Drosophila melanogaster: one gene and its partners. The protein of the gene in region 3 binds, or shares a complex with, the protein of the main gene of each other region. Each region holds a gene or a part of one and is shown on either strand. Other genes may lie near its edges.

Region 1 (8,025 bases), on a different chromosome or scaffold from region 3:
CCCACATCTTTGAGGAACCAAAAAATGACGGGAATCCAAGCCAGACGTGTCTGCATCTCATGAGATGTTCGAATGAAATAGGTGATAACCTTAGCATGAGCATAATACCATAGCAAGTATTTCATAAAAAAAGAAACCCTTATCATACTAGACTATAAATACTAAATAAAGTTCAGTACACACATTTCGCGTGAAGTAAAAACACAGTTTTTTTTTTTTTAATTTTAATAAAGATTTAAGATTTAAGATTTTTAATTTTAACTGGTATTCTTATTTCATGAAAACTGAACAAGCAAAACTATTGAGTTATGCAACACATTTATTATGAACTCAACGATAATTCATAAAGCTCGATCTGAAATAGTAAAATTTAATATTTCGTTAGTCGTATGCATTCTTGGAAATACTTATATAAGTATGCATATGTATGTATGTCGGTCGAACTTACCCGCCAAACGCTGGTTTCTGTGCATTTGAGTTTCCAGTCTGTGCTAGATTTCCGAAAGAGAGTCCCGATTCCTGTCCCCCCAACGTTTCAAAAATGTTTCCCTGTGCCGGCTTTGCAGCAGCACCAAAGGGTGGAGGGGAGGCTACTGGGCTGGCACCGCCAAATCCACCGAAACCCTTCGGACTGCCAAAGGTGGCACCTCCCCCAAAAGTGGGGCTAGCTCCAAAGGCCGGGGATCCACCGAAAACGGGCTTGGCTCCAAACCCACCTGGTGTCGTAGTTTGCTGCTGCGGGGCTTGTGGTGAGCCAAAACCTGTCTGGGCCACAGATCCACCCCCGCCCTGGCCAAATCCACCACCGAAGCCCCCCTGAGCTGGTGTCGTCTGCGTGAAGGAGCCAAATCCACCAGAGCTGCTGCCACCCCCAAAGATCGATCCGCCAGATGCGGGCGGAGCTGTTGCTGGTGATCCGAAAATAGAGTTTCCTCCGCCACCAAAAGGAGAAGCTTGCGGACTGCCGACGGGATTGGAGAATATATTCCCACCTGCTGCCGGTGCAGCCGCTGATGATTGACCAAACACTTTTTGGCCAAAAATTGAAGTACTTCCTGCAGCCGGAGCGCCGACTGCGCCCTGCGTATTACCTCCTCCAAAAATTGAGCTGGATCCAAAAGGTGTACTGGCGGATCCGCCACCAAAAATAGATCCTCCGCTATCGCCTGCTTGTGCTGGTTGTCCAAAGACACTTGGCTTAACAGCCTGACCAAAAATGTTACCGCCAGAGGCTGGTGCTCTAGTCGTGGGACTACCAAACGGCGAAGGGTTACTAATCGCGGCCGATGCAAAGAGACCCGCTGGTGGTGCATCTGGTGTTGCCGCAGCCGTGGTGTTTGAAGGAGCAGTTGTAGCTCCTCCGAAAACGCTGGTCTCCGCCTTAGGTATACTGCCAAAAATGTTTGCACTCGAAACTGGACTTTTTGCAGCTGACTGAAAGGGACTAGCCACTGGAGCCGCTGTTGATGTTGCTACTGCGAAGCCACCACCAAACACTGAATTCGACGAGTTATTGCCTGTAGATGTAGCGGTTGGGCTTTTGGCAGCTAAGGGAGCTGAAGCGCTGGTAGTTGGAGCTGCAGCACCTCCCGCACTTAGGGTGCTAAATGCGTTTGAGAAGGAGAACGCACTGCCGGGAACAGCAGTGCTAGATGTTACCGTTGTGCTCGATGTTGCCGGAACTGCTGCGGTAACTGCCGCAGGAACTACTGCTGGACTAGACACAGTCGTCGTAGCAGTAGTAGTCGAAATGGCTGATGGGGTGGTTGAAATAGGATCAGTTTTGTTGTTCGCCTCCGTCACACTTGTGGGAGCTGTTGCCACTGGTTTGGTACTGCCGAATAATCCCTTTGAGGCATCAATCGTTCCGCCAAATGAAAAGCTACCAGCGGATAAACCTCCTCCAAAAATGTTGGCTGGTTTGGTGGTATCTGCAAAGTAAAAGACATATATAGCCGTTTAGAGTTTATGCCAAATAAGCGTATACATTTATGCGTAAGGTATATTGATAAAGGAAACTATAGCTTACCTGCAGGAGTGTTGGGCTTGCAGATAGTCACAGAGCTAAAGAGGCCTCCAATAGGATCCGTGCTGCTGGTCACTGCATTTGTTGTGGTGACGGAAGGAGCATCAGTTACGCTGCTCGAAGCAATTACATTCGTAGGCTTGCTGGTGATGGTGGTTGTGTTGCTAGTGACCGTGGTGATCGGTTCAGAGTTGGATGGTTTCGCCAAAGCTGCTGAGAAGATGCCAAATGGTGCAGTTGAAGCTGATGTGGCTACACTAGTGGTTGCTGTGCTGGAAGGTTCAGATTTTGGCACAGCAGCGGCTGTTCCTCCGAAGCCTAGAGATGAACCCAGTCCGCCAAAGCTGAACGGGGAGCTGGAAGTATTTCCGACAGTACCTCCAGTTCCTGTAAATCCTCCAAATCCAAAGGATTTGTTTTCCGTCTCTGCCTTTGGTTTTTGGGGTACTTTTGACTCTTCTGTTTCGGGTTGTACCGCCTTGAATTCTTTGCTTTCTGCTGCTTTCTGCTCTTTGGGCTTAGTCGGCTCGGGTGTTGGTTTTTCGACCGCTGACAACGGGTTTGGTTTTGGTGTAGGAGCTGCCACGGCTGGCGATCCTGTTCCGAATGAGAGTGCCGACTTGGCAGCACCACCACCAAAACTAAAGCTGGAAATAGTACTGCCGCCGAAAATGGATAAACCCGGCTTGGCTGCTTCGCCAGGAGTCACAGTATTTGTCGTTGGCGTCACAGTAGATGTCTTCACAAATGGGATGCTTTGGCTGAAGGAAAATGGCGTAGCCACTGGAGTTGTCGGATGTGTGGGCACTCCAGGCTTTTCCACAACGGACGGTATAGATGGCATTGGTTTAGGCAGCGGAGGAGCCACTGTAACAGTTGCTTGTGGCATGGGTGCAACAGCTGGCGTGGGTGCAACATCTGGTGGTGAAGGCGGAGCGACTGCTGCTTGGGTGTATTTGTTGGCTGTTGCAGGCTTGGCTGCTGCCCTTTTAATTTGCTCCGCCCTACGTTTCGTTTCCAAAATAACCTCCGACTTGAGCCCCACTCGATCTGGTCGCTGGGGACAAATAACATTGATCTTCTGCAGCTGAACAATATTACGGATTTTTTGTAGTCTTTCTCGAGTGAGCTTGGCTGCATTAGAGTCCACTACCTGGCTAAGACTCATCGTGAGAATGGAGTCGGTCAATGTATCCACTCTAAATAAAAAAGTTATAGTCGCATAAAGAGAGAGGTCACAATAACTTCTACTAACGCTTCGTTGGTGCGGGTGCGACTTTTCTCCTGGTCGAGCAGTGCGGCCTGAAGCAATCCGCGCTCCTTCAGTTTGGACTTGATGTTGTTCTGTACAATTCGCTGGTTAGAAGTTAGATTTTGTAGTCTTGTCAGTCGTTGATAGATTCCCTCTAGGCAAGGCATGTGCATGCGAGACTTCGAATTGCGCCGCACAACATCCTGAAACTGTTCCCACTGCAAATCGACATGCTGCTGGGCAAGACGCAGCTGGGCCTCATTGGCAGCCACGTAGCTCTGAAGACGAGCTAGCATGCGACGGCCAGAGGGATCACAGGAGCTTGAGTTCATTAAACGCGTAATCCTAAACGAAAATTACGGGTTTTAAATAGCTTATATATTCAAAGAGTCCTTTACCCACTCTGGTTTTCTATAAATCTCCAGTTTCCCGCGGCACTCTGCTACGATGGCATAGGCCTCATTAAGACCCTGTCGCAATCCCTGTACATCTAACTCGAACTCCACATCCTTGGCTTGTTCATTGAGCTCTTGGAGGTCATCCAGTCTCTTTGCGTATGCCCTCAAAGCAGATGGTGCTGCAATCTGCGGAATAACAACTTTAATACATGAAGCAGTGTAATACCAACACTACTTACGCCTTTGAGGAGTTCCTTCGTCTGTTCCTTTTGCTTTTGGATATCCTTGCTAAAGGCTTCGATTTGTAGGGCAATCATGTCCTTGATAATAGGCTCAGTGTCATCAGGCTTAAGACTTTCATCTGCGATTTGTGGAGGAGCTGAAGTGGCTGGTTTTGTGTCCACTGGTGTGAATGTTAAAGGAACCGTGTACAGTGGTTTGTTTGCTGGAGCAGAAGCAGGAGTTGCGGGTACTGTTGACCCAGGTGCCGCTGTTCGGGGTGTCACACTGGCAATAGCCGGTTTATTCAATGCCATTCCCCCAAAGGCATTTGCTCCTGAAGCCGAAAACATGCTTCCCATGGCAGTAGTCGTTGCCTGCGTGCCAAACCCACCAAACGGTGTTGTTGGCTTGGCTGCATTGGTAGTTGGAGCACCAAACGAAACCGGACTAGAAGTCGGAGCAGTACCAAAAGATAGTTGCGGAGCAGGTGCCTTAGCTGCAGCTGCTCCAAAGCCAGAAAACAATGATGGTTGCTTATCCTTCGAGGGAGCTGGGGTTGAAGTAACGGTATTCGGTGTAAATGCAAAGGATATGTCCGAGGAAGCAGCAGGAGTTGCAGCTGGAGCCTTGGAGGGACTGGCTGCCCAAGCTGGCTGCTCTTCTTCCTCACTAGCAAGCAGCATATTCAACGGCTTGAACTGCCCAGAAGTATCGGCCACTGGAGGAGGTGGCGAACAAACAGACACCGCCGTCGGCAGCACATTAAGAAAGTTGAACGAGAGCAATTCTCCATCCGAACTCAAAACATGAACCATGGGCATAGTCTGCAGCTTCTTCTCATTTATCGTCAGCTGGTGCGTTGTAGAAGTGTCGAAGGCAAAGCCCAGCGGGAAGGTCTCATCCTTGTCCTCACTTAGGGGCATTTCAATGCGTGCCTCATCCAGCAATGTAAGCTGCTGCCAAGCGGGTGTATCGCCGGCCTCGGTTGACCGCATGATGCCCACCTCTACGCCATTGGCCGAGACTACGAGCAGCAGATTCCACTGGGGCACATGGCTAAATACGAACTGATGATTCCTCGGGCCGTTCATGCTATAGCAGATGTCATAGTAGTTTATGTAGCTGGGCGCACCAGCCTTGGGAGCATTTAGAATGTAAAGCGAGGGGCTACAGTCCTCGCCATGCTGGAGAAAGATCACTGCAAACTGGAAAGTCGACAGCCACTGTATAGCAATGGTGTCAAAGGGGGCATCATGTATATTCGGAGGACACAAAAGCGTCTTGGCCAGAGTCAGATCCGGCTTGAACTGCTTCACCGTGCCGCCGGGAAAACCAAGAACGATCTGTTTGCCCTTGGGCGACCAGCAGCCGCACTTAACTTGTTGATTTTTGTCCAGCGAGTGCATTTCAAAGTTTCCCCCCTCCTTCAGGGCATACATCGCGAGCGCTCCGTTGCTCAAAACAACGGCCAGGCTGTTGGGCAGCACGGGATTCCAGAGGAGCTGGACGCCGTGCACGTGATCCTCGGCGGCGAGGCGAATATTATAAACAGGACGTACATCAGGGGTCATGAACGATAGCACCGCATATATGCTGAGCAGGCTGGTGCCGTTCTGGGTGTGATTCACGGCCAGCAGGTTGCCATCGGAGCTGCAGGCAATGTAATTCGGAATACTGGGCAGTGGCACCAGACGCGCCTGCGGCTGTTGGGCTGTGCTCTTCGCATTGACCAAATCCTTTACAATAATCACTGCAAGGAGTGCCAGGATAAATTTATATATTTAGCCTAGCTAACTCAAGCTACATTACCTTTGAGTTCCGGCTGCGTTGGACTCCCGGCAAAGAGCAATCCCCGGCTACTGGAGACCGCCAGCAGGTTCACATTGCTGCGGGGCTCACCGCATTTTTTGAACGCAACAATCTTGTGGTGCAGTTTGAATTGAAAGTCCTGCGACCAAAACCAATGGAATGTTTGACATCTCAGTGCTATGCAATTGTGCTTACCTGCGTGTCCTCGCAGTCTGGTGCATTCTGCGCCATTTTTGTCTGTTTTCGCTCCTATTTCGCCAAATTTTTTGCGGCTTGTCGATTTCCCAATCGAGTCGATGGTGTGGCTGCAAGTTGAGATCGTTGGAAACGTTGGCAAGCAAAAAGCGCGCCACTTGCAGTACGGTCACTTTCAGGAAACTCACCACAAAAACTCACCACCAAAAAATCCAACAACATATACAATACAATCTGATTTAAATTTCATAGATGTTCCTTTAAAAAGAAAATGGGATAAAATCTTATATAAAAATAGTTTTCTCCTATAACTAACTGATGAACTTGTTAACTAAAAGAAACCAACTTAGCTTGAATTAAGTATTCACCAATCTTGTCTTAGCGGTTGACCATATGGCAATTGCACTTTGTTGGTATTTTTTCAGACGGTATTTTGTTTTGGACAGTATGTGCGAGAACGAAAATTTCAGCACATCGCTAGCGCAGCAGCCTTGTTGTTGTTCGTCTGTCTCTGTCCTACAAGCGTTTCTTTTTGTTTGCTGAGAATTAAACAAAAGCGATTTGTTCGCGGGCAATGCGAATGCATTTGCAAAGCAGGGCACAAAGCATCGGCTGTTTCGACTGTGATTGCACAAAGCCATGTAGTAGAGGTCGAGCTGGCGATTCGCAATTATCCACAGGCGACGCAACACGGTGCTAAAAATTGCGTAGCCAATTAATCTCGAAATCCTTCGAATTCAATCGCAGTTACCAAAAAGTAAATGAAATTTAAATCGACTTAAACAGAAATCTGTGGATTTTATTTCGATATTGCCCATAAAGTACCCCAAATCACATAATTTACGGAAAAGTCAAGGAAATTCCAGGTGAAAATTGGGGTTGGAAAGGAGGCCAGGATAACGGAGTGGACTCTAATTAAATACCCTACAGTTTTCCCCTAGAGCAGCCAGGCGACGCTCAAGATGATCAGCAGCCTGTTTTCGCGGCTTATAATGTGAGTAATAACCGATTACTACTATAGCAAATCCCGACTTCATAGCCACCGCAAGTGAGTGTGAGTGCGAGTGAGAGCGCTACAGCTGCTGACCCCCAAAAAAAAACAAAACTAACTTTTCAAGCTCGGCCTTCGAAAGCGAGAAAAGCACCTACGAAGCCCGTCGTCGTTTCCTAATTGTGTGGGCGTCACGCTTCTGATTTCTAAGTTTTATACATTTCCGTGGTTCCTCGATTCGCTGATTGCCGGATTGTTTGTTTATTAATCAGCTGTCGCAAAGTACCGTTCACTTGTGCGCGAGTGTGCGCGGCCTGTGTGTGTAACCCTCGATTGAACTCCTAATTTGGAGTTGCAACTTTCCAAGCTTCTGCGTCTCTGTGTTCCCGAGGCCGACGCACTCGCCTCGCCCGATTTGGGTGCAGAACATGTGGATATAGCCTGTCGGCGACCCGGCGACTCTCTGTGACTCCGCTATTGTTGTCAATATTTATAGATCGCAACTCGACGCTTGCCCATAGTGTGGCACAGTCGCGGCCAAGTAGCTAGCACCTCATTTGTTCAAGCACACAATACCTCCGTTAGCATTTTCCATTATGTCAATACATCTTAACTTCGAACTAGACTTTACTTTTGATAATGAAATTAGTAATCGGTTCAAATCAATAACTAACATCATAGTCAAGATATATAGTTCTTACATCTAAGGAATTAAATCGAGGCGATTTCTCCCATTACTCGCTAAAGTATCCTTTCCAAATTAAAGATTCAAATATCTTGATACTGAGGTGCTATTTTCTTGAACGCCTCTGTCGCAACATTCGGAACTGCGGCGCATTCCTACGTGTAAACATTGAGTGCTCCTCTGTTGCTGGTTCTCTCTAGACCCGATCGTGGGTTTATTAATAGACCTCTCGCCTGAGCGTTAGACGCCGAGCTACGGCAGTCTCTGCTCGGCGTTCTAGCGGCCAGGAACTATCTGCGATCCGTGCTGCGGGCAATGCATCCCCGTTGCCATGAGGCCAATCTATCAGCAGGAGCCGCCGCTCTTCTACCAGCGGCCAGCTAATCTCCGCCGCCTACGTCATCCGCCGGGCACCGTCTACGGACGCAGTTACTCGCTCGAGGACCA
Region 2 (7,969 bases), 4.1 Mb from region 3:
GTAACTGGAGCAAGTGGTAGCGCAAATCGTAGACGGGCTTCTTGGTGTCAGTAGGTGCGTCCCTGTAGCTGGGCTTTGGGGGCTCCGCATAGCACTCTTCCGCTTGGAAGGCGTCGTTATAAGCATTGAGTGCATCGGTGATAGACGATGTTGGGGCTGTGAAATACCATAGCTGCAGGGCCAGTGCTGTCAGCCAGTTTTTATTCTCGAGTAAGTTGATGGCCCCATGTGAAGACTGCATCATTGGCGCTCCGGCGGCCAGCATGTACATCTTAAGGCGCTCCAGATCGATATACTTATCCGACTTGCTCTGCTGCCAGGCAAAGAGCTGCTCCTCCATTAATAGCCGGAAGACAGCTCCGGAACTTAATTGGGACAGCACAAGAGCCAGATTAGCATCATCGTAGCTGAAGGCCAGCTCACAAGCCTCATTTACGCGATGGCAGCTAAGTAAATCCAACATGTGCTCCAGGTAGCTGTGGGTGCTAACTTTTTTCGAGAGTAGATCTTTGCCCAGCAGCGTGTTCTCAAGCCACTCGGATAGCAGATTGCGCCGACACATGACCATGTAATGAGAGTTCTTTTCCAGGTCCACCAGTTCATCGTGATCGCCCCATAGTGCGAATAAAAGCGACCACACTGACACGCTATAGTCCTCTTTTAAGCCAGCATTTCTCTGCTTAAGAGACTCGGAGAAGTGCTTGGAAACTAGTTTCGTACCGCTATCGGGATGTATACACGGGCACTCACTACCCTCCACATTAACTGAGAGGCAGTCGTTAAGCTGAACTTCGAGATGGGGAATGATACTTTCTCGAAAACCCTCGTTGCCTTTGACCATGTTAAACTCCACCAACTGCATTACACTGGGCGACAAATCGGTGGCCGAGCGCGGCGCAAATACCATGGAGACGGGCAGGGATGGTCCAGTAACTGAAGCAAAGGGAAATTATTATAATTGGACTGCTACAGCTTGTTTCAGATATTCTTACATTCTTTTAGGTTTTGCATGTTATTATAGGTGCTTGGCAGTACCAATGAGTTTTGTGGACCAAAACTGAGCTTAAAGCTGCGTCCTTTGTAGAATCCCAAATCGGCGATCCAATTATCGCGCATCTCATAAGCGATGGACCTGGGTAGGGGAACCGTGGTGGCACGCAACTTAATCGGAGCCACTTTGGGCTTACAGACAAACTTGAAGGCTTTAGTGACAGGCATTTCAAACTTCGTTTCTTTTACAGCTGCAACAATGCTTCCAGTTGCCATCGACGATGTCTGAAATTGATCAGGATGTTTATTGGGCTTCAAAGTAAAAGGTTACGTCGATATACCTCCTCATAATGTGCATCACACATCAGGCTGGCCTCAGAGACGGAGGAAGAAATCGGCAGAGCGGGCGATGGGTGTTCAAAATCGTACTGACTGGAACTCTCGGAGGCACCATCTTTCCAAACAAGAGGTTCCACGTTGAAAAACTTGCGATGACGAAGAAGACGCCCCGTAGTCTCTGTAGAAATTTATGAGTAATTTTCAAATGTATAGTGGCCGTGTGGGATGATAAGCAGTGAATTGTTGTAATTATAATGAATTGTTGCCAAAGCAGGCAAAATGAATTGGATTTACTAACACATTTGAAAGCTTTATTAACTTTATAATTTGTGCTACCTTTTTAAACATAAATATATATATATAATACTTTTTGCAACGATCAAAAATCATTAAATATCGTTGATAATTAACAATACATATTTGCTCAAAACTAACGATTAACATTTAAACATCTACATATCTTTTACTGTAAGCAATTTGAAAGACCATCAAGAGATTATCCACCTACCCATGGGTTCGTCCTCGGGAGCATTGTCCTCCACAAAGAAGGATGACTTCATTAGCTGCATTTTGTGCGCCTCGTTGCCTACCATTTCCTGAGCCAAAACAGCTGTGGGACTGGTAATCGTTGGACGTTGACGCGGTGGATCAAACATGGAGAAATCGGAGTTGCCACCAGCTTGGAAAAATTCTGCGAATTAAAATTAAGTAAATTACAATTAATGAAACTAAACCTTTTAAAATGGACTTTAGACGTACGTGTTTTGTCCATTAAAAGGAACTCGGCGGTATCATCCATTGGCCTGAATCCGCTGGCAACACCTGCGACCAAGGCTTTTGGGTCCAAGTTACGGGCTGCATCTTCTGAAATCTTCTGCGCTTGGCGCAGCGAATTGAGCGTCATCTTTTCTGCGTTTGCCCGCTGCTGAGCCTCAAGCGTTGCAATTTTGGCTTTTTTCGGGTCAGTGGGCAACTCGTCCTCTTCGTCGCTGTCTCCCAGGCCATATTTAGAAAAGTGCTTGACGCGGAAGACCCAACTACCCGTTTCCGGGCGGTATTCTATAAAGCGCGTATCGTTTTTATCGCACACCCGGCGCAACTTGCCCTCCCAGTCCATCTCAAGCAAGCGTTGTGGGTCCTTGATGGCTTCGTGCTTGGTCTTGTCCAACGGCCATACTTGGTCCAAAGTGACCTGGGCGTCACGGTTTAGACCTTGACCAATGGGCGGCTTGTTTTCGTCGTCGGGATAAATGATAATCTCCTTGTTGCGAAAGTGGACTGTGATACAAATTGTTTTGCATTAAATAAATGTATGAGAGCAAACACAAACGGTTATAAAAAAACACAAGACTCTTACCAATCTCATCGAGGTTCAGGCCAGCCACATCCATTTCCTTGCCGAAGAAGACATTGCCGTATCCTTCCCGACCCACCGTAAAGTTCGGAACCACACAGGATCCGTCCTCGGCCAGATAGGAGCGTAGGTCGTCTAGCGATGGAATTGTATAGTAACCCACGCGTCGCAGCACAATGCCTGTTGGATGTGATTCGTCGTCTGCTGCCTCTGCAGCAGCTGCCTCAATGGCTAGGCGGGATTGGTTTGCTGCAGAGTCCTCTGCCTCATTAGATCTGTTCGAAAGCACACTCTCATTGGCCTGCTGCGAAGTGAAGGTTTCGCGACGTGCAATGGTGCTGGATTGATCCTCAAATGGATTCTCTGGGATGGTTGACACCGAGAGGCGAACGGTGGAGGATGGTCGGTATGTATCTAAAGGTTTACGTGGCACAAGCTCGTTGAGGGTGCTGTTATGGGGCGATCCCTGATCCATTCCAGTCTGAATGTTGTGCTGGCGTACCTTCTCAAGGTTGTTAGGATGCAGCCATGACTCACGGCGGCCGTTATCCTGACTTTCCCGTCCATTCGTTGCTCCAGGCGAGTTTCCAGCTGGTGGTAGCGGCTCACTTGGAATGGCTCCGCTAAACGACTCGCGTTCTTTGTTGGGAGTTGCGCCTTTGGGTCGAGATTGGGGCGTGTTGGGAGCACTGCCAATAGAGCTAGAGGGATTTCCACCCTCTACACTTTTTACTTTGGGTTTGATAACTAATCGTTTAGCACTGGGCTTCAGATTGAAGCCCTCTACAGAAGCATCAAACTCCTCGAGACCATCAAACAGCGATTTTCTATTAAGTGTGCTGCCCAGCGCCTTTACCTTCATTGGAGCAGGATTGTTGCTGGTACTTATCTTGTACTGGTTGCTGGTCAGGTCCAGAACTGCTTGTTGGGCAGCAGGATTTGTAGCTCTTGTTGCATCTGCTTCACTGCTTAGCTTTAGATCCTTGAAAATCGGAGAGTCTCCGTAGGGAGAAGTTACCCTAGCTAGGATCTGCTGATGAATGGGCTGGTGTGAAGGCGTCATGATACCCAGTGTGGGCTGAGCTCCCATAATACCACCAGTTAACGAGTTGTTTGTACCCATACCGAAGCCTCCTCCGCCCAAGGAACCACCGACACCTCCGAAACTGGTAGTTCCTCCTCCAAACAGTCCTCCCGTTGGGGCAGCACCCGTGCCACCCAAGGTTGTAGTACCTCCTCCAAAAAGACCTCCTCCCGGCTTGGCTGTATTTCCGAAAAGTGATCCGCCCGTGTTGCCTGCGTTGAAATTAAGTGGTGCTGCGCTGGTGGCTCCAAAACCTCCGAATCCGGACGTTGCTGGCTTGTTCAATCCCGAGTTAAAAAGGCCTCCTCCCGTTGCTGCTGTACTGGTGTTCAGGCCAAAATTTGAAAACGGAGTGCTAGCCGTGGAGGTTGCGCCGAAAGTTGGAGCAGCAAAGCTAGTGGCGGGCTTGTTTCCGAAAAGGCCTCCGCCGGCGGTGCTTGTTGCTGGAGCTCCAAATCCAAAACCTGTCGTGGCTGCTGATGCAGCCGTTCCCAACCCAAAGGCTGATTTATTTGGATCGGCGGCTGGTGTGGCACCAAAAAGAGTTGACTGTTGCGTTGCTCCGGCTGTGGTTCCAAAGCCTCCGAATCCTGTGTTAGTCTGTCCGAAAGCAGGAGCCGCACTGGTAGCAGGTGCCTGACCAAAGAGGCTTCCTCCCTGTCCAAAAGCAGGCTTCGCCCCAAATGGATTTGAAGCGTCAGCTGCGGGAGCGGCAAACGGAGTGGTGGTGGTGGCTCCAAAGGGCTTTTGCAGAAAGTTGTTTTGCTGGGTTGCTGCTCCGAATGCATTGTTAGTCGCCGGTTGTTGGCCAAAAGCGGTGGTGCCAAACATGCTCTTATTCTCGGTCACAGTTTGGCCAAACAGACCTGTGCTTGGTTGGGCAGTGCTTCCAAACAGGCCACCACTTGCAGGCTGAGCGGGCTGAGTAACCTGAGCTCCAAATCCAAAAGCTCCCGGAGCATTCCCAGCCTGTGGACCCTTGCGCCCGCACATATAGTCTTCCAGGCGGAGCTCCTCCAGAGATTTGCCCTCGAACTCCTTCATAGCCGTGATGCAGTGCTGCTTAGTGTTCACACTATTTGCCTGACCGCTCTTCATCAGGGTATCTGTACCAATGGTTGGCTGGTACTTGGCCACGGCCGTGCCCGTATTGACTCCGGAAGCTCCCACGGCCGTAGCCTGAGGTTGGGCAAAGGCGGAGGCGGTGCCACTGCCAAAAACATTGGTGGTTGTAGGCGCCGACGTCCCAAAGCCTCCGAATCCTGTTGTACTGGTGGCGGCAGCCGGTTGGCCAAACAAAGAGCCCGTGGGCTGAGCAGCAGCTGTTTGCCCAAAGGCCGTCATAGTCGGCTTGGCGGCTCCAAAGGCGGGTAGCGTCGATTGTCCAAAGAGGGAGGTGCTTGCCGCCGTCTGGGTGGATCCAAATATGTTCGAGGTCTGTTGCGGCTGCGAGAAGGCTGCAAAGAAGAAATTACTAAATTAGTAACATGATACCACTTCAAATGATCGTGTCTAACCTCCAAAAGCCGTGGGCTGAGCTGTGGCAGTGCTTCCAAATCCCGTGGACGTGTTTGCCCCGAATAAGCCTCCGGCGGGCTGAGCTGGTGTGGCTGCCGCACCGAACAGTGACTGCTGCGCGGGTTGGGCGGCAAAGGTGGAGGTGTTTCCAAAGGCCGGTGCGGCGGGTTTGCCAAATGCCGACTGGCCAAACGGAGTGGTTGTTGTGGTGCCGCTGAATCCGCCAAAGCTGGTGGCCGCCGGAGTGGCTCCGAAGCTGGGTTTCGCGCCGCCAAACATTTTGCTCGCTGCTGCTGCTCAGATAACAAACATATACTAGGTAGATCCCCTGCTTTGTCCTTCGCCGGAATGCCAACTATCGCGATGAGCAATGCTTCGATTTCACCACGTTGGGCAAGCTGGGGCGGCTGCGCCGGATGCGAAGGTTGTGGGACCGGACAGGCTTAGCTTAAAACAAATAAACACTCGCGAATTTGTCAAGTCAGCAGGAGTCGACCGAGTCTGACGCAAAAAGTGGACAGAAATGGCGCGCCGATTTTTTCACGATGTTGAAGAAAATGCAGCCAAAAGTGTGACCAAGGCGTGAAATCGCATGCAAAAATACACTGTAAAAAAGCAGGATACAACTGCCAGGCGCATAACTATTGACCATAACTTATTTATGGTCTTAATAAAATTTTTGCTTGGTGCCTCCGAAGCAAATTTACTATGAATGTGTGGAAAATGTATTTTATAACTTGGGTTTCTCGTATTTTGTAGGTAAGCTCGATTTTCACATTTTTATGTGACCGTACTGCGAACAAAGTGAAAACCCATTTGACATCAACGGTGTGAACACGCTGTAAGGGGCACTCTATATTTGATATTTTCGATTGGGAACAGTACGGTACTTCTGGGCATCGAGCACGCTCATTCACAACAAACAGTTGAAACGCGCGGGTTGTTTTCCGAGAGCGGTTATTTAATTAATTGGCAACTGTCACACACGAGTGTGTGTGCGATCGAGTGCGTGTACATGTGATAATTAGCTGAGCGGCAGCGGCCAACTCCCAGCCCAAATACAAGTCGAGAACAAAACGAGCGAAAAACGGCGCAAAATGCATTTGCGGAGCGACAATTTGTGCGGAATGCTAGCTTTTGTGCAATAATTATTTATTGGTTGCAATTGTCCAACCGGTGTGCTTTTCGTCGAAATCTGTAGCGAAATCGGAGGCGAAATGCTTGTGTTGGCGGCATTGTGAAAACGAAATCAAAATTTCAACTACGTGTTGCTCTTTTGCCGTTGCCTAATTTAATGTCTTGTTGTTTTTATTTTCGCAAACGAAAGTCCATCGCTTTGCATGTGTGAGTAGCGATCGTTTGTCGCCGTGTTGGTGGTAAAAGTCGGCGCAAAAACAACAATATCAGCAACAACACTAGTAGAAGCAACAACAACGAGAAGAAAAGCCTTCAAGATGAGTGTGTGGAGCGACTGCAATGCCAAGCAGGCAGAATTCGGCATTGGTAAGTTGGCAATGCGGCTATTAAGCCGATAAATTAGGTAGAATATGGCTAGGCAGGAATGTTTAAACAAAGTGCTTTGTAAACAACAATAAAGGAAAACTTTATGAACTGTTGGGCGCTCTTTTCCAGAGCACACCTCATCTCCACCCCCACCTCTCTCTCTAACTCTCTCTCTTATTTCACCGCATGTGTGTGCCTCCTGCTGCGTTGCTACGGTAAAACTTGTTGCACCTTCTCGCTTGCACACGCTCACTCGGCTGCTGTTGATCCTCCCTTTCCCGCTCTCACTGTGTTGTTTCGTTTTTCATTTCATTTCATCCTGCTCAGTCAACACTAGCATAAAATTCTGAGATTTGCTCTTGAAACTAAAACCTGTTTTCTATTGTCTCTCTCGCTTTTCATACTGTCTCTGTCTCTCACGTGCAACTGCAACACACTGCCAGAAAAAAGGCCTGGTACACATAAAGAAATTTTATACAATTAATGTAATTTTACATAAACTTAAATCTGAAGTACTACAACATTAGTACTACAACTTTTACGTATTTACGGGTGTGGGATTTGAAACCTGGTCTTTGTAAACCCAAGGCAAGCTGCATCAAGCTGACAGTAGAAATGTTTATTTTCTGTGTACACTGTGAGACAAATCCCAATTCAATGGCAGTGACCATGAAATATCTAATCGCGACCCGCTTCGAATGCGTGTGAATTTTTTATGGATCTCGTTTTGTTGACCTTTTCACCGCTGATCAATAGATACGACAGGTACATAAAGTACAGGTACCTCTAGTCCCAGGTAGATCGAGTGGAACTGGGAATCTCGTTCGTTAACACTCGAATGGAGCTTGCCGGTGTGTTTGCACTTGTTATTTACACACGTTTGCCTCTGCCTCTGCCCTTTTTTGTGTTTGCGCGTTTACTAGCTGTCGAAATCGCTGCGAGTACGAGTATCTGATAGTACCATTGGGGCGTGGCCAGGTGGACGGGGGTAGTGGGTGGTGAGCGGTGGTTGGTGGTATAATGTAATTAAGCGCGATAATATTTGGAATATGGGGCGGCAGATAAGTTAGTCGTTGGCATTGAGTAGCGAATTTGGCCTTTGTAATGCGAAAACGACTTACAGCATATACGAAATTCAAAAGAAACTCCTTATCAATAGCAGTTTGATGTATTCTTGTCTT
Region 3 (4,250 bases):
TCTACAACAAGATCGATCAGATCTCCATCGAGGAGGTGGACCGCTTGGCGCGCCAGCCAAACTCGATAGTGGTTAGTTGCAACATGAAACTTAATCTGGACTACATGATGGAGGCGCTCTGGGAAGCTCTCCAGCTCATCAGAGTGTACACAAAGAAGCCAGGCGCTCCTCCAGACTTTGACGATGGATTGATTCTGAGAAAGGCAAGAGACTGTTTTCCATTCATCCAATTCCTTCTTCAGCCTGGTAAAGCAACTCTAATTCCTTATATATTCCTTGTTTAGGGCGTCAGTGTGGAGCATGTGTGCCATGCCATCCATCGCACGCTGGCGGCGCAGTTCAAGTATGCCCTGGTGTGGGGCACCTCCACGAAATACTCGCCGCAGCGCGTGGGGATTGCCCATGTGATGGCCGACGAGGACGTCATCCAGGTGGTGAAGAAATAAAGATTGTTGCGTGTGAAATATATATTCTATGCTATAACTGAAAGTGAAAGTCTAGGCCCCTTTCGACATAACGATTTATTGAAACTTGTAAAGAGTGCCATTCTCAATTGCCTGTCGCATTGCTGGCGGAACTGGCCGCCGCTGCATAGGACTTGTTCATCAGAGCCGAGATGTTGGAGAAGGGCGTTGGACCGCTACTAATCCGTTGAGGTTCCACCGTCGGCAGCGGAGGATTGTCAATCCGCTCGAAAACGTTGGTGGTGTCTCGCAGGCGGTAGCGTCTGAGGTTTAGGTAGTGCTCCTTGTGCTCCTCCACCCGCTGATGCACCTCGTGGAGGCGTCCCGCCAGCGAGATGAAACTCTCATTAAGTTGGCGAAAGCCACGCTTTAGATCATCCGGCGAAATACTCTGCGGATTCGAGATCGCGTGCATGTGGCGCTCGGTCAGAGCGATCTGCTGGCGAAAGGCGATCAAATCCTGCTCGTACTTCGCCACCAGGCACTGAAAGTACTGGAACGGAGCATTGTTCTCGAACTGCAGGCCGGCTGGGGTGTCCTGCGTGCGTTGGGCCATCTCCAGAGATTGAATCGCCTTGACGGTCTCTTGGCGCATCAGGCGGATCTGCTGATTGCTGCCCTCAACTAAAGTGGCCATATTCTGCAGCGCCCATTTCAAGTTCGTGATCTCGTGGCTGACATTCGTGAATTTGGAGGTGGATGTCCGTCCAATGTCAGAGGAGATGGTCTTCTGCTGTTTGATATACGCTTTTAGGCCATCCACCGTTTTTATTATCTCGTCGGGCACTTGGGTTTCCTTAATCTGGAGTGGTCGAAAATAAAATGATTATTTTGTTTCTCTGTGAAAGACTCATGGTCAGCACCTTGATGCCATCTTGCTTATTGTCCCCCAGCTTTGGTTGCGTGGCGGTCACATCGATCCCCCCCAGACCCACGAAAGTCGATGCTGCCGGGGCAGCTGCCTGACCCGCTGGCTTGCTAAAGATTCCTCCTCCTCCTAGGGTTGTCGTCGCATTGGTGGTTCCCAGTTTCAGACCCGTGTTGAAGGGTTGTGCCGTCGCCGTCGTCGTGGTTGTGTTAAAGTTCAAGCTGGCCGCCGTGGTGGCCTGTGGCTTGGGGAAGGAAAACGATCCAATTCCGGAGCTGAGGGATGCTGGCATCGCAGCTGCCGCCGTTGTGGCGGTGGTGCCGAATCCAAAGGCCGGCGGCGCGGTGGTCGGCGCACTTGTGGCCGGGGTGGCAAAGGAGAAAGTGGGAGCCACAGTGCCCACGGCTGGTGCAGGTGCTCCGAAGGCCGATGCTTGCGTGGAAGCTGGCGCTCCAAACGCCGTTGTGGCTGCTGGTGCTCCAAAGGCGGATGTAGCGGCGGGTGCTCCAAAAGCGGGCGTGGCGGCGGGTGCTCCGAAAGCGGGAGTGGCAGCTGCAGCTCCAAAAGCGGGCGTAGCAGCTGGAGCTCCAAAAGCCGACGTTGCTGCTGGTATGCCAAAAGCGGGCGTGGCAGCAGCCGTTCCAAAAGCCGGCGCCGCAGTGGAAGTGGCGCCAAAACCAGGCGTGGACGCAGGTGCTCCAAAAGCCGGCGTAGCAGCTGGTGCCCCAAAGGCCGGTGTGGCCGCGGGAGCTGCAAACAAGGAGGTGGTGGCCGGAGCAGCACCGAAGGTTGGCGTAGAGGTGGCTGCTCCAAAGGATGGAGGCGGAGCAGTCGTCGTCGCCGGTCGCGCGCCAAAAGCAAAAGCGCCGGTAGCAGCAGTGGCGCCTCCAATGGCGTTGTTCGTGGTGGGCGTAAACATCTTTAGGCACCCCTCTTAAGGATTTATACAGGAATTTTAAACAATTAAACTATATTTACTGCAACAAATTTCGAAATTAATTTTGTTTAATGCCTGAGCATCTGTGGTTTAACTTCTAGGACAGAGATGACACTATCGGTGATATCGATAGCTAGTCAGCAGAGATTTATTCGGAAAAATATCAACAAAGTATTCAAATTGATTGAAATAAATACACTATGGCTAAAGATATATAAAGTATTTGCAGCTTCATATAGTTACGATTTGTGATTTTCAAATATTTAATTTTGGTCTGAGGTGTGGTGAGTTCGGTCCACTACAACATGGTTGTTATTTAATATCAAACGATAGCCTTCAGATATTAATATGAATAAATTATTTCAAAATTTAATCTTTATGTATTTCAATTTTAAAATAATATAAAGAATTTTTTACGAACTAATTTCTTACAATAGCTTTAAATACAGCCGGAACTATTACAGTGCGAAGCAGATTAAACGCTGCATTTAAATTAAAATGAATTAAAGTTTACAAAATTATAAAAGAAAAATATTCATGATGGGAATAAATGAGAAAGTTAATGCTTACAAAAACGTCAAATTATTTAATACTTCTGGCCAATACAATACCAAACAATAATATACAACTAAGCTAATCGATATGCAATCGACCGAGCCATCTCCAAGAGTTTCGCAGCACCCAGCTTTCCGGCACACTGCTTACCCACACCAACTAGCCACCGTGGTGAGTTTGCGTGTGTGTGACTTCGTCATATGACATTTTTCACAGTTCGTCGTCGATTGTGATTCTGTCGCACTTGCTTTTTTCGACTTGCACAGTATACACCACGGCGAGGAATTAGAGAAGTTTGGAAATTATGGCCAGCCAGACGCAGGGAATCCAGCAGTTGCTCGCTGCCGAGAAAAAGGCAGCCGAGAAGGTCGCCGAGGCTCGTAAACGTAAGTTTCATTTTCAGAAACAAAAATCCAATTGGAAATGGCAGGGCGACAAGTAACTGCGATTTTTTCACCACCCCGCCCCCGTGCTACCATAACCACCATCACCGTTGTGTGTGGGTCACATGATGTGGTGGAAAAAAGTAAATACAAGTCAATCCTCCATAACTCGAGATATAAATCAAATTAAACTAAATTAAATTAAATTAAATTAAATTAAAATTGTTTGTGGCCACTAAGACTGCAACTTAAGTGCAGTAAATAGTTTTTGTGCGAGTTGGCACTTTAAGTTATGGAAGGTCATCTTGCGGAGGGCTGATTTGCCAAGTTGAACTGATATGATCATCTGGATTTCTGGGTAATCCCGCAGGCAAGGCAAGGAGGTTGAAGCAAGCCAAGGACGAGGCTACCGAGGAGATCGAGAAGTTCCGCCAGGAGCGCGAGCGCGCCTTCAAGGAGTTCGAGGCCAAGGTAAGACGCCACATAGGGAAACTTATGTACATGTAATACCGTGTGAACCCCGATTACAGCACATGGGCAGTCGCGAGGGCGTGGCGGCCAAGATCGATGCGGATATCCGCGTTAAGCTGGCCGACATGGACCGGGCCATCCAGACCCGCAAGGACCCGTTCATCCTGGAGATCCTGCAGTACGTGTACAACATCTCGCCCGAGGTGCACAAAAACTACAACCACAAGTAAAGAGGTGGCCCCCCAAACTGTGCGCTGTAAATTCAATGTCCACGTTCAACTCTAATCCATAATTTAGACCCGTAATAATAGTGGTTAATCTAACTGGAAACACTGCTGTATTATTATTCCATACATTAAAGTGAAAATTCGTTGTTGTTCCATGTAGAAAAAAGCGAGCATATTAGTTTGCCTCCCACTCGCGCGGGATTGTATTATCATTGTTTTGTGTTCTGCCCAATACACGTTGTTGTTTTATCCGAAAAGTCATGTGTTTCAATTGTTTTCCTCACTTTCTTCCTGCTCGCATTTTTCATATCTGCACTGCAGTCAGCTGCTGCGTGATAAGATTTT
Region 4 (4,949 bases), 5.6 Mb from region 3:
TAAATTCAATTTTAACGCAATTCGGAACCCACCGGCATGTTTTTTCTTTCACAGCTAACACGGAAAAGGAAGTGGGGTAAATCGCAGCCAACTTAACTTGCCCGAGAATGCACTAAATAATGCTGAACAGCTGGGCGATGGCAACTCTGCTGCTCACGCTTTCCAATACTGGAGTGTGTGTTGCTTGAGTTCAAAATTTATTCTGACTTTATTCGTGTATTAGCAATAAATTTTATAAAAAGCAAACGCTACACAGTCGATATTAGGCATTACTACTATTACTATCATTAAAAAGTTCGCCGACGTATGACTACTTAAATATTGTTATGTTTCTTTTTAAGACTAGCCATTTTTATTAAAACTTGAGGCACAATAATGTAAGCATTAAACATAATAACGAATATATTTTCGAATAACATTTCTTTGCGTATTCTGTTTTTTAAAAGTGTAAAATCTTGGAAAATTCTTCCACTGATTTTTGGTCATACTAAAATAAACATTTTTTTGGCGCCGGCTAATTGTTGCATATATCCCGCGAATAACAAACAATATTTATAGAAAGATGCGATCTGTCATCGAGCCCGACCACAGCATCCAGCTTAATGAAGCCATCTACTGCTACGATATATGCACCAATGACTTTGCCTACAACCTAATCGCAGTGGCCTTCAGGAAACACTTGAGTCTGCTGCTCGTTGGACTGCCGGTGGGTTTCCATGCATAAGACCAGTGAAGGTTGAATGATTTTGAATGGTTAACCCTTAATCCGCAGGAGGAGAGCGGCGAGTTCGGGTACACACGCCTGCAGGACATGGACCTGGGCGAAAAGGAGCAGCGGAGCGTGAGCGCACTGGCCTTCTCGCCGGACACCTCGCTCAACTGCACGCCCAACAATGTGACTTTGTGCGCGGCCAACGGCAGCCAGCTTAAACTATACCGCACCGATCTGGGCCAGTTCACCTCGCTCCAGGTGCTCCGTGGGCATGGGGACTACGTCAACGATGTATCCTGGGTTTGCGACGGCGAACTGCTGGCCTCCGTTAGCGATGACTTCACCTGCAGATTCTGGACGACGACAGGCGGCGGGGAGAATGTCATAACCTTTGGCCTGTCCTCCGCTGGAATGTCCGTCAAGAGTCACCCCGAGGATCCCAACAAGGTTCTTGTGGCGGAAAAGAAGGGTGTGCTTGCTATTACCAGTGTTTAGCCCGCGGTGTAACTAAGGAAACTCCTTGCAGGCATCATTCATCTATACAATGTGACGCTCAAGCAGACAGTCATCTCCGTGGAGTCGCCCAAATTCCCCCTGATGTCGGCGGACTGGGCCCACAGCAACCGGCTCTTCATCACCTCGCTGGCCGGCGGAGATGTGGTTACCTGGGACCTGAACCGACCCTATGTGCCCGCGGATGTCAAGCAGGTCCACGAGGATTGCGGCCGGGTGGTGCGCTTCGCGCCAGGCAGCTCCGAGATGGTTATCGCCATGGTCATCGGGCTGACTCTCAAAGTGTTCGCGGCCAAGTCGACCGTTCCTCTGCTGGAGGCCTCCCTGAAATCCTATGGGGGAATGGCCTGGCACCAGCGATTGCCGTACATTAGTGCGGTTTCCGATAGGAAACTGCTCTTCTGGAAAGTGCAAATGAAGTAATTTATATAAAATTGTATGAATAATAAATAAAAGAATATAAAAAATATGATATAAAAAAGATTTATCAGAAGAATATCAATGATCTACACTCTATTTCTATATTTATATTTCATAATTTCGTTAAACTATCATAAGTTTTATATTATTCTTGAACCTTCTTTAATTTATTTATTAAATCCCTTATACTTATTTGTTTGTTCGAAAAAAAATCGTAGCAATCGATAGTTGCTATAGTCATTAAAACATCGGTGACGCGATATATTCGCGCCCATCGATGAAAACGCGTAGTCATCGTTTTTTGTTCCAGCACTAAGTTTGCACAAATTTTTTGGTTTCCGTGCTGTTCAGCTTAAGTTTTAATTGGAATTTAGTGATATTTACGTTCCAATCTACACCGCAAACGAGTGCAGTTTGTTGCGACTGGAATTGCCCATCCGAATCTACGTGATTTTCCGGCCGGGGCAATTAACCGTTCGAGGAATCTGCTTCAATCGGATGACGAGTGAAGAAGAATCTAACGCGAAGCACATTTTTGCAAGGTCTCGTCCACTGCAAATTGGACGTGTTTAAAAAAGTACAGATATGTTTACAACGCGAAAAGAAGTGGACGCACACGTCCACAAAATGTTGGGAAAACTTCAGCCGGGAAGAGAGGTAAATAAACGGCCAAAGTGTGCATCGGAATTTCCAAAAAGAAAATCATTGCGAAATCTTCAGGCGCCGCCATTGAAAGCACACCGTTGTGTGCGTGCGGCGTCTGCTTGTGTTTGTGTGTGTGAGTCGGCGTCACTTGGCCGTCGTTTTTGAGATTGAATAAGAAATTGCGCGCTTTTCTTTCAACGGCTGCATTTCATATACTTGACAAATAGAACGCTTTTTTCGCAGCTGCATGGCTTTCGCCTTCTCTGTATAAATCAAATTAGATATTTGAGGTTATGTGTACCATATCAATCTGCTAGAGTGAGCGCTGAATTTGTAAGACCGCCAAAAATAATTCGAATTTCCATTGTGGATTTGAATGATTTTTTGCGGTCTAACGTAGCTCTATCTAAATAATAAGCACACAATAAGTCAAATCTTACAAAGTTATTCTTATCCAGCTCACAGTGATTGTCTAAAAATTTAACAGACTTTTTTGAACCTAACGTACTAATCAATAAAATGTATATTGTAGCGCGATATCAAAGGCTTGGCTGTAGCTCGATTGTACATGAAAGTTCAGGAATACCCAAAAGCCATCGAGTATTTGAACGGCTATCTCCGGGTGAGGGACGACGCTGTAGGCCATAACATGATTGCCACTTGCTACAGTAGGCTGAACCCGCCCGATGTGACAGAGGCCCTGCAGCACTACCAACGTTCTATTCAAATTGATCCGCGTCAGTCAGAGGTTGTCATTGACGCCTGCGAACTTCTGGTGAAGGAGAACAACGCATCGATCACGGAGTGCGCCAGGTACTGGTTGGATCAGGCTAATAGCCTTGATTTAAGCGGCAACAAGCAAGTCTTCAACCTGCGAATGCGTGTAAATCTTGCGGACAGTAACGGCGAAAGAGATGACACCAGTGGCGGAGACGGCGAGCAAAATACCCTCGAGATTCTTATGTACAAGGAGCTGCAGGCGCGTCCCCAGGATGTTAATATACGCATACAACTGCTGCGCAGCTATGTTGAAAAAATGAAAATAGACCAGGCCTTCAACTATGCTCTAAAAACGGAACTGGAGTCGAAAAACTGCACGAGCCAGTCGAACGAATGGTACGAGCAGATCTGGATGGTCCTTTTCAAGATAGAAATGGCCAAGGATGTAAAGAAGAACTGGCGATTTTGGCACTTCGCCTTGCACACTCTCGATCGTCTCGTGCAGCTAAGCCTGGAGGGCAGTGGACTGGCAGACAGCAGCAAGCAGTTGTTCAGACTTGATCAATATCTATTCAAGTTTAGCACTTCGATAGAGAGGTCAGGGGACGCTCCGCAGCGGGATCTCCACCAGGCTTGTATTGACCACTTTACCGGCCAGCTTCTGCTTCACGCGGTGACACTGATTTTCAAACGTGAGGTTCTGGCAAACAAAAACAAATGGATGAGCACGCTTCGCTCCGCTTTGCCACTTCTGCTCCTTGGTTACCAGGTGCGACCGATCGATGATTCGAGTACCAACCAATGGATAAAACACTGCGACGCGGAACAGAAGCAGTTGATACAGATGTGGCGCCCTCAGGGCGCCTTTCGATGTGCCCAGCTTGGACGAACCCTTTTGGGCTGCTTGGACCGGTCACAAATGGAAATTAAAAACGATAGAGAAAATGCCGAGTTTGATGAGAATAAGAATTCGGGAAATTCTATGCCGGGATTATTTGCCGACTCCGAAGAGCTGTTGGCCAGCGCTCACCAGCAATGCTTGGACAAGAGCTGGCGAAGTCAAATTTACCAACAGCTCTTTACCCACGCCGAACACAAGCTAAAGGATACGTCTTCGCATCTGGTGCGGAACCTGCGTCTGCAGCTGCCTCTTTTTGAGTGGCCGAATCTGGCGCATATCGAGAACTACGAACTGCAAGCGTTGGTGCTGCCGCCACACTCCTTAGCCCAACATGTCTACCTGGCTCTGGGCACCGACCCGAACAAACTTGGAGATGCGCCACGCGTGGTCTTTTATGAGGGTTTCCAACGGGATGTTAAGCAGAATCTAAACTACTGTGGGCAAGATTCAATCAGCCAGGTAGATGTGGACCTCTACCTTTATGCCACAACCATTCAGACCAGACGTAAATTGCAAATCCAGCGTGAGGTGTATGACTCCTCCAATTTGGGAAACCGCAATGCTGCCGCCCGGCCACATATGATGCCATTTGCCAATCTAGTGGGTCAACTAGGCGCACCGGAGCAAAGTAACTGGTGGGATCTGGTGGTGCGACTTAACTCGAACCAGCTTATCACTGAAGGCAATCGCGCCGAGCAACGAGCTCAACTACAACATGGATTGGAAGCGGTGCGCGGCGTTAATGGCCCAAAAGCAGATGCCATCATCATTTTTCAATTGGGAAAGATTTTAAATTCCCGATCGGATCGTTCTTCTCTAGAAGCGCGTATCGATACCCTGTACAGGCAAGGATTTTCAATTTTACGCCACCAACACAACCAGCAGATGGAATCCTATGTCCGCGTCTTTAAGTACGGATCCGCCGGCTCAACGGCAGCATGGCAAGATCTTCAGTCGTTGGCTGAGGAAGCCGTCACCTATTTTAGCGAGAAAATGTTTAGGATTGGACAGTATGAGCAGTTTTTGGACGAGGTCCGG

Evidence for each region.
Region 1: Nup58 (region 3) and Nup214 share a complex: the UniProt entries of both Drosophila melanogaster proteins name them as parts of the nuclear pore complex.
Region 2: Nup58 (region 3) and Nup98-96 share a complex: the UniProt entries of both Drosophila melanogaster proteins name them as parts of the nuclear pore complex.
Region 4: Nup58 (region 3) and Nup358 share a complex: the UniProt entries of both Drosophila melanogaster proteins name them as parts of the nuclear pore complex.

The regions. Positions count from the first base shown.
Region 1 is NT_033778.4:22,918,717-22,926,741, forward strand, and holds Nup214 (nucleoporin 214kD), read right to left. Parts: upstream 6,027-8,025; 5' UTR 5,939-6,026; coding exon 5,903-5,938; intron 5,847-5,902; coding exon 5,708-5,846; intron 5,649-5,707; coding exon 3,916-5,648; intron 3,863-3,915; coding exon 3,681-3,862; intron 3,624-3,680; coding exon 3,282-3,623; intron 3,226-3,281; coding exon 2,030-3,225; intron 1,932-2,029; coding exon 449-1,931; intron 356-448; coding exon 331-355; 3' UTR 221-330; downstream 1-220. Other genes in the region: CG30187 (uncharacterized protein), read right to left, coding at 1-56; ReepA (receptor expression enhancing protein A), read left to right, coding at 7,910-8,025. UniProt on the Drosophila melanogaster protein: Part of the nuclear pore complex. Serves as a docking site in the receptor-mediated import of substrates across the nuclear pore complex including emb, RanGAP and phosphorylated Mad. Protects mbo/Nup88 from proteasomal degradation at the nuclear pore.
Region 2 is NT_033777.3:23,775,601-23,783,569, forward strand, and holds the start of Nup98-96 (nucleoporin 98-96kD), read right to left. Parts: upstream 6,022-7,969; 5' UTR 5,565-6,021; coding exon 5,285-5,564; intron 5,225-5,284; coding exon 2,687-5,224; intron 2,608-2,686; coding exon 2,089-2,607; intron 2,021-2,088; coding exon 1,838-2,020; coding exon of another isoform or gene 1,818-1,837; exon of another isoform or gene 1,616-1,817; intron 1,508-1,615; coding exon 1,332-1,507; intron 1,276-1,331; coding exon 993-1,275; intron 934-992; coding exon 1-933. Other genes in the region: mbc (myoblast city), read left to right, coding at 6,740-6,788. UniProt on the Drosophila melanogaster protein: Part of the nuclear pore complex (NPC). Required for MAD import as part of the Nup107-160 complex and required for nuclear export of Moe probably via its association with Rae1. Plays a role in nuclear mRNA export.
Region 3 is NT_033777.3:19,643,166-19,647,415, reverse strand, and holds Nup58 (nucleoporin 58kD), read right to left. Parts: upstream 2,391-4,250; 5' UTR 2,252-2,390; coding exon 1,328-2,251; intron 1,267-1,327; coding exon 550-1,266; 3' UTR 510-549; downstream 1-509. Other genes in the region: CG6195 (uncharacterized protein), read left to right, coding at 1-203, 285-446; Vha13 (vacuolar H[+] ATPase 13kD subunit), read left to right, coding at 3,129-3,210, 3,578-3,678, 3,738-3,908. UniProt on the Drosophila melanogaster protein: Component of the nuclear pore complex, a complex required for the trafficking across the nuclear membrane. Together with Nup54, required for transposable element silencing regulation in ovarian follicle cells.
Region 4 is NT_033777.3:25,247,401-25,252,349, forward strand, and holds the start of Nup358 (nucleoporin 358kD), read left to right. Parts: upstream 1-1,947; 5' UTR 1,948-2,230; coding exon 2,231-2,302; intron 2,303-2,822; coding exon 2,823-4,949. Other genes in the region: RpS27 (ribosomal protein S27), read right to left, coding at 33-38; Nup37 (nucleoporin 37kD), read left to right, coding at 563-706, 773-1,181, 1,239-1,648. UniProt on the Drosophila melanogaster protein: E3 SUMO-protein ligase. Component of the nuclear pore complex (NPC), a complex required for trafficking across the nuclear envelope.